Nothobranchius furzeri: one gene and its partners. The main gene of each other region encodes a partner of the protein of the gene in region 2 in a complex. Links are inferred from orthologs where the notes say so. Each region holds a gene or a part of one and is shown on either strand. Other genes may lie near its edges.

Region 1 (4,351 bases), on a different chromosome or scaffold from region 2:
ATGTGGTAACAAGCAAGTACGGGAGGCGGTTGTGTCATCCGTCTCACTTTTGATTTGCCAGTGATAGACTGCGAGGGTAAATTTAACCATGCGGAGACGAAGAGGAGGCGAAAATTTGATATCAAGTTCAAAGAGAACGTGCTGATTATGCTGCAGAACACTCTGGGGAGCAGTAGCAGGGGTTGTATGAACTAGTCACTAGTCGACTTCACCGCTCTATAGTGACTTTTTATGCCTGTCATCGACTAGTCGCTGTCACGTGATAATGACCGGCAAGATGCAGTCCACGGAAAAGACAGCAGCCTGCTGTCAGCAGGTGACAAGCTCCTGCGCATCGGGAGGCAACGCGCTGTGCCAGAGCGTCGGTACTGACACCCGCCATAAAATGGACATTTAACCAAGTTGTGACCTTTACCCTCTTGCAATTTAACCTTCCCCTCACCCCCATCCTAACCTTAACCAGCTTGCGCATGCAAAGCTCTGATTGTTGACGCGCTCCAGACATCTGCGTCCTGAGCACGGCCACAGTAACATTATCAAATCAGGTGTCGCCACCTCAAAAACTAATTTAACACGCGATCGTTCATGTCGGCTCATTTCCTTTTATGTTTTCTGTCTTTTATGCTTTTATTTGTGCCTGATGCCTTTCGCTGCTGTGGATCGGGGCGCATCACCTGTTTTGTCCTCGGTGACGCACCTCACTGATGTGGCCAGCGAGCACTCCGCTGTTTTTGCGGTCGGTAGATCTTTTAGAACTGCAGTTCAAAGGTAACTCATAAGGTGAATATATATGAACCCAGGTAGCAGTTTCTCTTTAGGATTGAGAGGAGATGCAGGAAGATAATAAACAGACAGGACAGAAAAATAGTCAAATAAAAACAAGTTAGTTTTTGTACCTGGTGGTTGCAACAAACAGACACCATTGAAGGTAATCAGAAGTGAGGAACAGAAAATGAAATAATTATTTTAATGTTTAGAGCAGCAGGAACTCCGAGAGGCTGCAGGCGCATCAGTGAGTTTGCGGCAGCTGTGCAGGGGGGGGGGGGGCTGAAGCAGAAACTACCGTTGTTAAAAGAAATGTGTTTAACTTTGAAAATGTGGGCGCAATTTTAATTGTCAAAAACTCCAGCGAACCATTAGTTCATTTTGCTCAAATAGAAATTGAGGCCTGCCTCTAATTCTGGTCCTCCTTCCAATAAAGGCCTGGAGCTTGATGAGCTTGAGTCAAATACAGACCCGGGCCTGTATTAGAGGATTTACGGTAATTCTTTAGTAAAACCAATTTAAAGTCAGGCACATCTGCAGGCAGTCTGGTGCTGTTGCCGAAGTTTGAATAGTTTACTGATTTGGTTAAATGTTTAATTGATTGGGCTTTATGTAGATTTTACATTTGAAGTAAATGACTCTGACCTAAATATCCACATTTAATGTATGTAATCACCACTCCTTTCAGATTCCCCTTACATTAATCTTTGAACTTTGTCCTTTCATGTTTGGTTTTAATCAATAAGATTCGAGAACAATGGCGTCATTCAACAATCTGATAAAACGACTTCAGTGACTAAAAGGGGTCAAACCTTGTTGAAACTTTTTTCAATTATCTATAGTTTCACATTGAAGCAGGTTTGTAATTCCAATTTAGATTAATCTGACTTGGTGCTAAGTTTGTTTATATATATATATATATATATATATATATATATATATATATATATATATATATATATAATCGCTTGCATCTCTTACCTAGAGCTCTTTGATCTCTGCAGAAGTCATGAACCGTTCAAAAGTCCACAAACTACTAAAGTTATATAATCTGCCTCCTAACGCCAAAAAAAGAGCGTAAAGACAAATGTTGTACTAATGCATACTCACAACGCCCACATTAAGTTTTAATATTACAAAACACGTCTGAATAAAGCTAGAGTAAAACTATTTTCCTTCAGGCATTTTTGAACTTTCCGCCAGTTTCAAGCAGGTACGCAAAACATGACACAACACCGGTGACCGGCTAATGAACGTTAGCGATAAACAACCTGAACGGGGGGTTTGAAGTGTAAAAAGCTCAAGAAAAAGTGCAAAACAAACTCAGTAACAATTGTTTGAAAAATGTGTCTTGAATGTATGTTCGTGCTGATAATTAAATCGGCTTTAGTTCCCGACAGGTGGAAAGCTCTGATAGCATTAGCTTAGCTTTAACAACTTGCTTGTTGACAAACCGAAAGCTCTTGGTTTGAAATCTGCGCCTAAAACAACTTACCTATAACTCTGACCAACACCTTTCCCATCACCCCTGCCCATCCCGATCCAGGGTCGTAGTAAGAGTTAAACATAGCGTCGATAATGAAGATACAGGGAACTCGCAGCGCCACATCCAGCAGCGCTAAGGCCTGCTGGCCTATGCGGGCTTGGGTGGTCGCCATACGGCTTCAGCTGAGGTTTTACAGTCCTGGTCAGTCCCGGATATCCGTGCCACTTTAACACATGTTCAAGTCCACCAAGTGTCGTGTTATTTTGTTTGGTCCTGACGGTTATTTAACAGCTAGCGACCTGTCGCGGCTCGCCATATTCTTCCAGCTCAACCCTCCTGTTGCTTCTTCAGTTTGTTAAATGTGACGCTCCAGCTCACATCCGGAGTCATTTCGCCATTAAAATTCAAAACGCTCCATCCGATCCTGCGCTGGTTAATGTCACCAAAAACATGGAAACAACGACAACACACTCATTTCCTATAGCTCTGGCTTTACGAAGAACACAAAGTTGTTGGGTGATTCAGATGTGACGTAACGTGACGTACAACTCGTCGTCGGTGGGTGTGACGGCTGACGCAACGAGACCCACGTGCTTCCTCTTTTTTTTTTTACTGAACAACAGGATGAATGTATAATAATAACTCTTACTATGAATAAATTAAAGATGTTTTTATGTGTTTCAGTGTATTTTTTTTTACAAAACACAAAAAAGCTAAAAAAAAAGGGACGATGGTTGCCAGTTATTGATCAGCAACGGAATATTCTAGATGGCAAGTCATGCACAGTAAGATGATTAGCTTATAAATACATTTCACTGTCATACAGAGTTGTTAGTAATTGAAAATCAGCTTAAGATATTGTCAGGACCTATATGTATATGTCGATGGTCAGAACAGATAATAATTTTCTAATGCACCATTAGCAGTTAGCTCAACATTAGCCTCCAGCCTTTTTTATTTATTTTTTTTACCCGATATTAGAGTAAAACAAAAAGGTTGCTGTGGCTTCTTAGGGTTATAACTAATTACTGGGGCACTCCTTTTACTGGCTAACATGATTTCCACAACACTGCTGCTTTTTGCCAGTTGGTGCTGCAACTACAAATGTGGGCTCACTGTTTGAAGACTTGGCAACTTTGCTAGCTCACATATGATTGGATCTGGAACCAGGAAGGATAGAGGCAGGACGGATTGTAAACAGACTGCATCCTTCTTTGGGCCTTTTAAAAAGGAGAAAAACTGAAAAAAATTAGATAAATTTCCTGGAAAAATCTTACTTTCTTTACTATTAACTTTAAAAATTACAAATAGGATACATTGGAAGATACTTTATATTTGCAAATGACCATACTGAATCTATAAACCTTTTCTTTAGGCACGTGCAAACAAACAAGCATTCATAAGACAATATAATGCCATAACAATATCAACTGTTTTCAGCTGGAGCTAAAGAAAACTTTGATGGTGTTGTTGTAGATAGTGTTGGCCAGCTCAAGTGGGTCTTCATCTCTTGTACCTGCCATCACCTCAAGAACTTGTCTATTAAAAACAAAATAAGAGAACGATGGAATTAAAATGCATGAACAATGATTTATTTTTATTTTTAATTTTGCTAATCCCTAGCAGTACTCACACGATGTGACAGGGCTCATTTCTATCCTTCAAACAATGCCCTGCCTCCCATTTCTTCTTTGTTGGAAATGTGGTTTTAACATATTTGGAGCCCACATGAGTGTTCTTCACACCACACCATGGGGCATCTGGAGAAAGAGAAAAAGGCAAAATGCAAAAAAACGCACTAGTTTGTACTCACGGGGTGGAAATTCCATTACCCAACAAGGTCAAGTAATACAAATGGAAGAAAAACTTCTTATACCAACAGAAAGTTTGGAGGTTTTGGAGATCAGAGCACATCAAAGACATTGGTCCATTTTGTCAAATGGCTAAATAAATAAAAAAACCAAATAAATCAATAACCCATAACTCACCAGTTTCTATCAAGAGTCTCTCTGTGGGGATTGACTTCATAGCTTCAATATTGGCTGTTGTCTTCAAGGAGCTGAAAAGTTGCACTTGATTATTAGAGACATTGTACACAAA
Region 2 (4,263 bases):
AAAAGCTCCACAGCTTTTAAATAAAATAAAACAATACATTTGAGTTGTGGACATCCTGTCAAATTATAAAGTTTTTTATGCGACACGAATCAGAGATAAGCTTCATGGAGCCTCTTGTCAAAGTAAATATAGTACTAAATCTCTAAAGCTAAGACTTATCTTTATTTACTAAAATGCAGCAGCACGCCTATTGACGGGTTCGAGAAAGAGGGAGCACATCACCCCAATTTTAGCTTCGCTGCACTGGCTGCCTGTGGTTTATAGGGTCCAGTACAAGGTTCTTTTATTGGCTTTTAGAGCTGTACATGGCCTTGCTCCGCAGTATCTGTGTGAGCTTTTAGTAACTTTCTCCCCGTCTCGGTCACTGAGGTCAGCCGACCAGTTTCTCCTGGAGGTGCCGAGAACAAAGAGAAAGCTCAGGGGTGATAGAGCTTTCTCAGTAGCAGCTCCAAGGTTGTGGAATGCACTCCCGATTCAGATTAGGATGGTTTCATCACTGTCGGGTTTTAAATCCCTCTTAAAGACTCATCTGTTCTCAGTTGCTTTTAATTCAGTTTGAGAATGCATCTGTTTTTAGTAGCTTTTATGTCAGTTTGATATGTTTGTTTTATCATGATTTTACCTTGTGATTAACTTTTTATCTTGTTTTTAGAATTTTTGAGGAAATTCTGTTCATTTTGTCTTGTTAAGCACTTTGGTCAGCTTTTATGCTGTTATAAAGTGCTATATAAATAAAGATGACTTGACTTACTCCATCCACCACACACACCATGAATAAAGACATGCTGCATTTTTCCTCCAGAGTGGTTTCTACTGCCATTGCATGCTACACACCACTTAAGACACACAGCTCTTTCAGAGATCCAAAAGGTGTGGGCACATTCCCGCTAAAGGAAATATCCAAATTTAACTGATCACGCCTGGGGGGAAAAAACCAGCTTTCATGCTGCTTCCTTTCAAAGAAGACAGGGGTTATTTACATGAAGGTGAAAAAGCACGGAGGCAGAGGTTTTGCATACATGCCGACTCGGGCATTTGATCACTTGGTAATTTCTGTTTCTCACAGAGAAACAATTTTAATACAATTCACAAACAAAAAAAAAAAAAGATTTTTAAGGTCTGCTTCCCCAAGAAACTGTTTAAAATTGTTCTTTCAGAAAGGCGATTGGTCACTCATGCATGCTGAATGTGAAAATGTTCTCCAATCCCCATCATCTGCATTTGTCACAGAAAAGAAAGAGACATGAAATGATCTGATAGGAAAAGGCAGATTGCTTCTATGTCACAGAGAAAATTAGTGTTTGTGACCCGGCCCACATTGGCTTACACAAGAAGGAAACAGCGGACAGCATCTCGCCTAGTATAAGCTAACCACTAGCAACTCAACATGGGAGAACACAATCAGGTGTGTGTTATTTGTGGAGATAAAACACCAATGTTGCTTTTTTTTTACCCAAGAAAGAAAAAGCGAACAAAGGCAGAAGAAAAGCTGTGGTGCCGTTAGCCAATCAGAGGCGAGATGTTCGCATATCATGAATAATAATGAACAAGACCCTCTCGTCCCACTCTTCTGCCAAACTTCCAACCCCAAAACAGGAACACCAAAACCTCTCTCCACAGAAAACGACTTGCAAGGCATGTTGGAAAATCACTCCTCCGACAAACTTCTACTTCCTGTAACAGGAGCGTCAGATCATTTCCATAGAAAACGACTCACTAAGATTTATTAATAGAAACCACGGCAGATTAATAGAAAAAAATGAATGGATGAGACCTTTAAAGGAATATTTTTGCGCAAAAGCTTTGAATCAAGCATCAATCTGTCTGTCTCTGTTGTTTCTCCATTAGCTATGCTAATGGGCAGCTTTGATCAACCCTGATTGAAGAGCTCCGTCTGGAGCTACGGCAGGCCTGCACTTTTTCAACTGTTGCCACGTTTTCAGCATTTCTGATCTTTGAGATTCTCTAAATCAACTACTCATAAATGATGCTTGTTTGGAAAGAGCATCATACCGCCTAAAAACATGTGACAACTGATAACTCGATGTCACTTGTGGAAATCACCCTTTCCACAAACATCCCTCCCTGCTTGAGAACAAACTGAACACTGATATCTATACATGAGCTCCGACGTTGTTTGAAATCTGTGCCTTGAGGGCAGTTCGCCTCACATCAAACACAAATGTCCGTTCCGCTTCCCCACGCCAACTCAATCTCAGCTCGTCTCACGTCCGCTGAGCTAACAGACGGAGTTGCTGCTGCAGCGTTTGCTGCTGTTGCATGGCATTAGTAGTGTTTTATTCATGATCCTACTTAATCATTTTCCTGTCTGTGATGTCACTAAGCTGTACAAGCCAACATGTCAAGCATGCCCCAACACAGCAGCCCCCGTGTCAGTCACAACACCACTGTACCTGCTGATGGGAGACCAGGTTGTCTCTCGGGATGCCACCTGTTTACGTCCTCTGAAGGCAGCAGTGCAGGGGTTTTTTAGCCTAACTTGTGCATTACAGTTGACATAGTGTTCCCTTCTTGGCTCAGGCAGAGTGCACGACTGCTTGGCTTGTCCTCCCGGGAGCGACGGAAACATTCCCTGGGAGGAACTCTCCTCAGGAGTCTCTTGATCTGCTGTTATAAATATGCTTTACAGTAAACAAAGCTACAACAAGCGTCCACAAAGACTTCACAAAGGTTGTTTGAAGTCAAGCCTTTTCAGTGCCGGCGCCTCTGACCCAGGTTCTTGCCTCGCTCACGGTTTAGCCGAGCATTCGTTTAAAAAACTCTGGATGAAAGTCTCCATCTCTGGTCTGTTTGTCCAGTTTGCTGTACTCTCCAGGGTTATGTGGGTGCAGCTGGAAGGCCTGATTTGGCAAAGGATCAGCAGCATCTCCGTCAGTAAACTAATCTGGGATTGAACTGATCGGAAACTCAACGAACAGGATAGAGGTCTTGAGGCCACCTCCCATTGATTCCCTCCTCCTCCCGTGGTCACACACTTCAGTCTTTCATGCATTAAAAGCATAGCAAGGTTGGAGGAGTCTTACAGCACTTCTCAATCGGAGCGGAAAATGAACAGCAGCCAAGAATTTAGTGTTTGTACGCAGCAGCCACAGTGCGGTGAATCTGAGCTCCTTTCAGCCATTCTGGCAGGTGATCAGTGACCATTCGGGAAAATCTATTCTTGTGGGATTTGTTGGCCCACTGTGGATGAGGGCGAAAAAAAGAGCAGTCCCATAGAAACCTAGCTTACTTAAAAATACATTTTCAAGATAGCAAGAATGATATAAGATAAATAAGAAAGCAAGAATGAGAAATTTGGAGCAAAAAAGAAATACAACCCCAAAAGCAAAAGGCTTACCTCTTTTCAGTTTTTGCTAAAATACCAAACTTGAAAGCCTCTCCAGGCTTCACAGATCCCAGAGACATTATCAGCGTAGCGGAGCCAAAAACCACTATCTCAAAACATTCCACAGATCTTTAGACTGCATCCATTCTTCTTAGTGTAACTGCTTCAAAACCCAGCGACACAGTTACATAACGATGAAGCACGTGCTGCTAATCTGTAGATATTAGTACAGTTGTAAAAGCAGCACCAACCTCACTTTGAATGAACTTGTAACTGTCATTTACAACCAGAGCCAATGACAGAACAGAGAAAACTTCTGTTAATCAGTAACCGTGTTGTAATAACTAAAGATGGCTGGCTCTTTCCACAAGACTTCCTCCTTTCTGACCAAATATTTCAATGAGACAGAAAAAGCCACAGTTTATGCCTATCACAGTGAGTGTGCAGATGCAAGGAAGTACATAGTCTTTTGCTATTCATAAATGTCACCCCCCTGTGCATTTACGATCTAAACCATAAAATAGATTTTCCCAAGATGCAAAGCACAAATAGGGATGGTGGGGCTGATGCAACCATGTTGCAACATCACCTCTCAAGTAACAAACAACGGTAAGCATGACAGACATGCCCAGATCAAAACCATCAAGAGCCACTTTTATTCACACATGCGAAATCGATCATAACAGAGCATCCCAACGGTTTCTACATTTTTCCTCTATTTTGTGGTAAAAATCCAACAGTTAAACTTTTAAAATGAGGGAAACGATCTATCTAGAGAATATAAATCAATTAAATGTTTAATTTATAGCACTTAGTTTCTGCAGTTTAGCAAATAGTTAGCAACAAAAGAGAATGTTATACAACACAGGTTTTTTTGACTCGAGCACATAAATGGGAGAAAATTCGTTGTCTGTATG
Region 3 (4,205 bases), on a different chromosome or scaffold from region 2:
GACTTTAACAAGAGGTCAGTTGTGTAAATCAGAATAAGATTAATTATTTTTTCCATCAGTTTAGAGTGAGTGTGTCATCCTGCTACCTACCATTGAACTGGTCCCAAGATTACTGCACATACTGATAATTAGCATCAGGAAGTGTGTTAGGAGTTGCAGCAAAGCTTACATCTGGGTGACCTCTACTCAACGAATGCGGGTTTAAACGGACTTTAGCACTGTCAACACAATGCTGATGCCCTCGCTGGGGCCTCAAAGCACAGTACTGCTTCAGTTCCACAGTGTGTGTGTGTGTGTGTGCGTGCGTGCGTGTGTTGAAGCCCGACGGGCATGTTACACATCCCACAGGGAAATGTGTGTATGCATACCAGCTATGCTATTGCAAGCTTCTACAAGTGTGGCTGATGGAGACCTTCTAACAGCCTGAGACCTGCCCAGGGGACAGATCACATTCACGAATCCAGTCCTGAGCCCCATCCCACAATGTCACTAGGTGGTGAGGATTCCTCCCCTCTAGAGTGCAGGGGGTGTGATATCAGTCCAGTGTTTCTCAAATGGATCTGCCACCTTTGTGCATGTGTGTGTGTTGGGGGGGGGTCATCATGTTGCTGCTTCTATGCAAATGTTTGAAAAGTTGCTGTTAACTTCCCTAAAGAGAAGGGGACGCTAAAATGAGGGATGTGGCTCTGATATGATCGGTTTCTCGTTCACAGGGAGGGTTCAGTTCTCCCAGCAGGGGTGGGAGCACTGCTCAGGGCCGAAATACTTAGATGTGTTGCTCTCATCTACGCTAAAGCCTTTTTTTCTTTTTACACACCTGAGGCTGTGCCACAGCAGGGCGGCACCCACCATGCTGAGGAGAAGATGCTGCTGATGACATCTGGAGGGAAAAGAGTGACATTTCTCTGCACCTGAAGTAAGTTCAGCACAAGAGCCAGGAAGACGCCCACAGAGAACAGCATGCCCCCTCGTATAAACAAGTTGGTGGTCCTGGATAGCAAAGTGAAGGACATTTTGTTTTTATTGTGAAGTAAATTTTAATCTGTTTAGGGCACAGTGTTTGGTACAGTTTATGCTACAAACACGTTACACCCCACTGTTGTAGATCAGAGTTATTCAACTGTAAAACGGGCTCTTCAGGGTTCTCACTAGAAGAATCCAACTATGTAAATGCTGTGATGTTGGTAAGTCAGTACTAACAGGGCATTACAGACCCACCCAGCAACTCTGAAGGCTTACCTGTTGGTGATGGCTGAGATATACGGTCCCCAGGAGCACCGGTGTGACTCTTTGGACCCCGGCCGCTGCCGCCGATCACTGTTGCTCATGGTTGTCAGTCAGGGACATCCGTGAGACTGAACCGGGAAAACAAACAAAAAAGTGCATGAGCTCCTTTTAGAAGAGTTTAGTGTCTGCTGGAGCTCCTTATGTGTTATTGTTGTGTATTTTCTTTAAATTTGTGATTAGTTCACTTTATTTTTTTAAGCATTTATAAAGTTTATTCGTGGATTAATAGTTGTTTATTTTTGTAGTTTGTTTTGTTGTTTACCTTTGTAAGTCAGTCAGGAAAACAATCACTGGGTATTTTGTATAAGGAGGCACTGGTATAGGACCAGCATGCACTGGGGTGTGCGTATGGTTTTTTACCAGAGCAGGAGAAGCAGCAGGAAACAATGGAAAACAGGATCTGTGTTGCCAACCTGGAAAATAAACCTTGAAGAAAACGCAGCTTTCAAGTTTGGACCCTGAACAACTTCTGCCAGCGTACGAAACGTTACCACAGTGCAGCAGCGGCTTTTAAAGTTGGAAAATATGAAGTGAGTTGACAAACAAAGGAACCACCACTACAGTGTCCTTTCCAGACAAATAGGAAAAACACACAAACTAAACACTGCTGCGGGTCCTGTCTAGCACACAGAAAGGTGGCATGTGGAGCTCTGCACTTTTCAGCAGGACCACAGAAACGAAACACAAACGGTTTTCCCATAAACACACAACTGTCGGCCTGCTGTACCAAATTTTACCGAGTACGTTTCACGGTCTCTCCAAGAAAATGTGTCATAATAAATACCTAGTACACACATTATTATTATTAGTAGTAGTATTACTATTACTATTATTATTATTATTATTATTACAACAGAAGACACCAGACTGACTGGAAACGTTGCAGTTAAAATAATAACAGGAGTCAGACGCTGGAGCTGAAACTCTCCAGGTTTGATCAGTAAACAAGAGAACAGCGACCACCCACGCTACCGGAAGGTCACCGACTCTTTATTAATGTCCCACGTTAAACCGCAACACCGGACGAAGGTCGGCCGTAAACAGATGCACGTTAGTCTGTCCTCTCCCCCTAAATCTCACAGGTTTCTTCTTCGGCCTTCTAACACTTTCAGATGAGGTCCAGGGCAGAGGTCAGGAGACGCAGAAGGAGATTTGGACTTTTCCCTAGAACCGGAAATGCTGTCATCGCGTGTTTGACCTCAGCCTGTCAGCAACACTTGCTCCCATGAACCAAACTGCTGCAGCACTAAATAAATGACTAAACACGTCACTTAAATAAAAGTAAGTTAGGGAACAAGTGGAGGTAAAGCTAGCTGAGGCTTAGTTTGGTACATGTGAGCTAGCTGAGGTCCGTCCTGGAAAACGGGTTAAAGTCAAACCTCCTTACCTTATAATGGCTGAGGGTTAGGGGGTGGGCTGAACGCAGCGACACTCTCCAGGAGACATTTGAAGCTGTTCACGTGGAGAAACTACACCAGTATATATCCCCCTTTAAATAGAAGCTTCTGTCTCCGCTTCTAGCTACTTCCGGGACTGAGTTCCAGAAACCAATCAACATCGAGATCCGTGACGTAATCCCTATAAAAAATATCGTTGACATATCACGTGATCAAAGTTACACGCTCAGAATCAGAAGTTTTTATTGCCATATGTGTGCCAAGTCACAACATTAGGAAATTGCTGCGGTATTTTGGTGAAGAAGGTAAGATAGAAAAAAATTAATTAAGAGATAAGCAAATATAAGAACTAATAAAACACTCATGATAAAATTATTAATGTAAAAAGTAGCAAGAATTAGAGAAGCAGCTATCTACTCCTTGTAGGTATTAATCTGAGTGTTTACTGAATCATTCAACTTGAATGGTTCAAGCACAGCATCGGGTCACGTGACTGGGACCAATCAACGAGTGGGCTGCCCTAGCATTTTCATTCAAAAGTCCAACTGCTCGGATCGAATGACTGAAAATATCCCCCAAAAAACGCTTATGTAACCAGAATTTGCGTTTGGAAAACTCACAGGTTGTCTTGAACTTGAAAAATATTAAGAATAATCAAATTAATCAGGATTTGGTGGAGTTTCAAAACAATTATGGACAGAAACAAAAGCTTATTTTCTACAAGTAATGCATGTTTCACCAACGTCAACACAAACATTATTTGGATGACTAATTTATTATTATTAATTATTATTATTATCAATATTAATACTATTATTATTATTATTAATAGTTGTAGTGGTAGTAGTAGTAGTAGTAGTAGTACAAGTACTACTACTACTACTACTAATAATAATAATATTACTGGATTGTTAATAATAATAATAATAATAATAATAATAATAATAATAATAATAATAATAATAATGAGGTCCTCAGAGTCTGAAAGGCGCTATACAAGTATACAATATTGGCTCCTGTCATTGAGATGAAAGAATTAATTTATCACACAGGTTTTTCGAAAAACTTAGCTTACAGAATTTTGTTGAAAACTTCAGTTTTTTTAGATTGTTTTAACCCTAGTTCTTTTTTTAAGTGTTCCCAATGGGACGGGGACACAAGAGATTATTAATCTCATGTATTTCATGTAAAATAAATGTTTAATAAAACTAATGTTCTAACAGCACCTAATTTGACCCCACTGCCTGATGAGTTCAAGTGGAGATGATACAGATGTTGTCTATCTATGGTTTCATTTCCATACCAGTTCATTTAGGGCAGGCATATAATGACCAACCTTTTGCTGTTACTGAAAAGGGAAAGCACCTCATCCTGTTTCTAGAAGCTGTCATGTTGTGTGTTTGTAGCCTGAGTCTGAGATGGGGGACAGAGTCAGCATTAGAAGATTATATCACACAAGTACATACGTTTTTAATCTACAAGATTATGCTGACATCACTGATAGATAAAATAAAAGGGACA

The links. The genes of interacting proteins can lie anywhere in the genome.
Region 1: scap (region 2) and rnf139 share a complex: the UniProt entries of both Homo sapiens proteins name them as parts of the SCAP-SREBP complex. The link is inferred for Nothobranchius furzeri from reciprocal best matches to the Homo sapiens genes SCAP and RNF139.
Region 3: the proteins of scap (region 2) and insig2 are in contact, whole or in part, in a cryo-EM structure (PDB 7ETW), measured with the Homo sapiens proteins. The link is inferred for Nothobranchius furzeri from reciprocal best matches to the Homo sapiens genes SCAP and INSIG2. Residues at the interface, in NP_036367.2 of Homo sapiens: Pro200, Ser206, Val282, Ala283, Glu284, Ile286, Pro287, Thr290, Ile294, Ala297, Tyr298, Phe301, Lys305, Tyr351, Val354, Val355, Glu359, Thr409, Leu410, Val411, Ser638, Tyr639; in NP_001308258.1 of Homo sapiens: Phe41, Val45, Leu48, Leu49, Ile51, Val55, Leu57, Phe58, Pro59, Val62, Ser65, Ile66, Glu104, Trp105, Ser106, Met109, Arg110, Val112, Ala113, Val114, Val116, Gly117, His120, Gln132.

The regions. Positions count from the first base shown.
Region 1 is NC_091759.1:12,644,751-12,649,101, forward strand, and holds the start of rnf139 (E3 ubiquitin-protein ligase RNF139), read right to left. Parts: upstream 2,837-4,351; 5' UTR 2,424-2,836; coding exon 2,261-2,423; intron 1-2,260. Other genes in the region: deoxyribonuclease TATDN1, read right to left, coding at 3,688-3,790, 3,885-4,011, 4,240-4,310. UniProt on the Homo sapiens protein: E3-ubiquitin ligase; acts as a negative regulator of cell proliferation through mechanisms involving G2/M arrest and cell death.
Region 2 is NC_091745.1:65,124,470-65,128,732, reverse strand, and holds the start of scap (sterol regulatory element-binding protein cleavage-activating protein), read right to left. Parts: upstream 2,819-4,263; 5' UTR 2,591-2,818; coding exon 2,415-2,590; intron 1-2,414. UniProt on the Homo sapiens protein: Escort protein required for cholesterol as well as lipid homeostasis.
Region 3 is NC_091754.1:36,998,952-37,003,156, forward strand, and holds the start of insig2 (insulin-induced gene 2 protein), read right to left. Parts: upstream 2,837-4,205; 5' UTR 2,675-2,836; intron 1,679-2,674; exon of another isoform or gene 1,550-1,678; intron 1,356-1,549; 5' UTR 1,329-1,355; coding exon 1,240-1,328; intron 991-1,239; coding exon 818-990; intron 1-817. UniProt on the Homo sapiens protein: Oxysterol-binding protein that mediates feedback control of cholesterol synthesis by controlling both endoplasmic reticulum to Golgi transport of SCAP and degradation of HMGCR.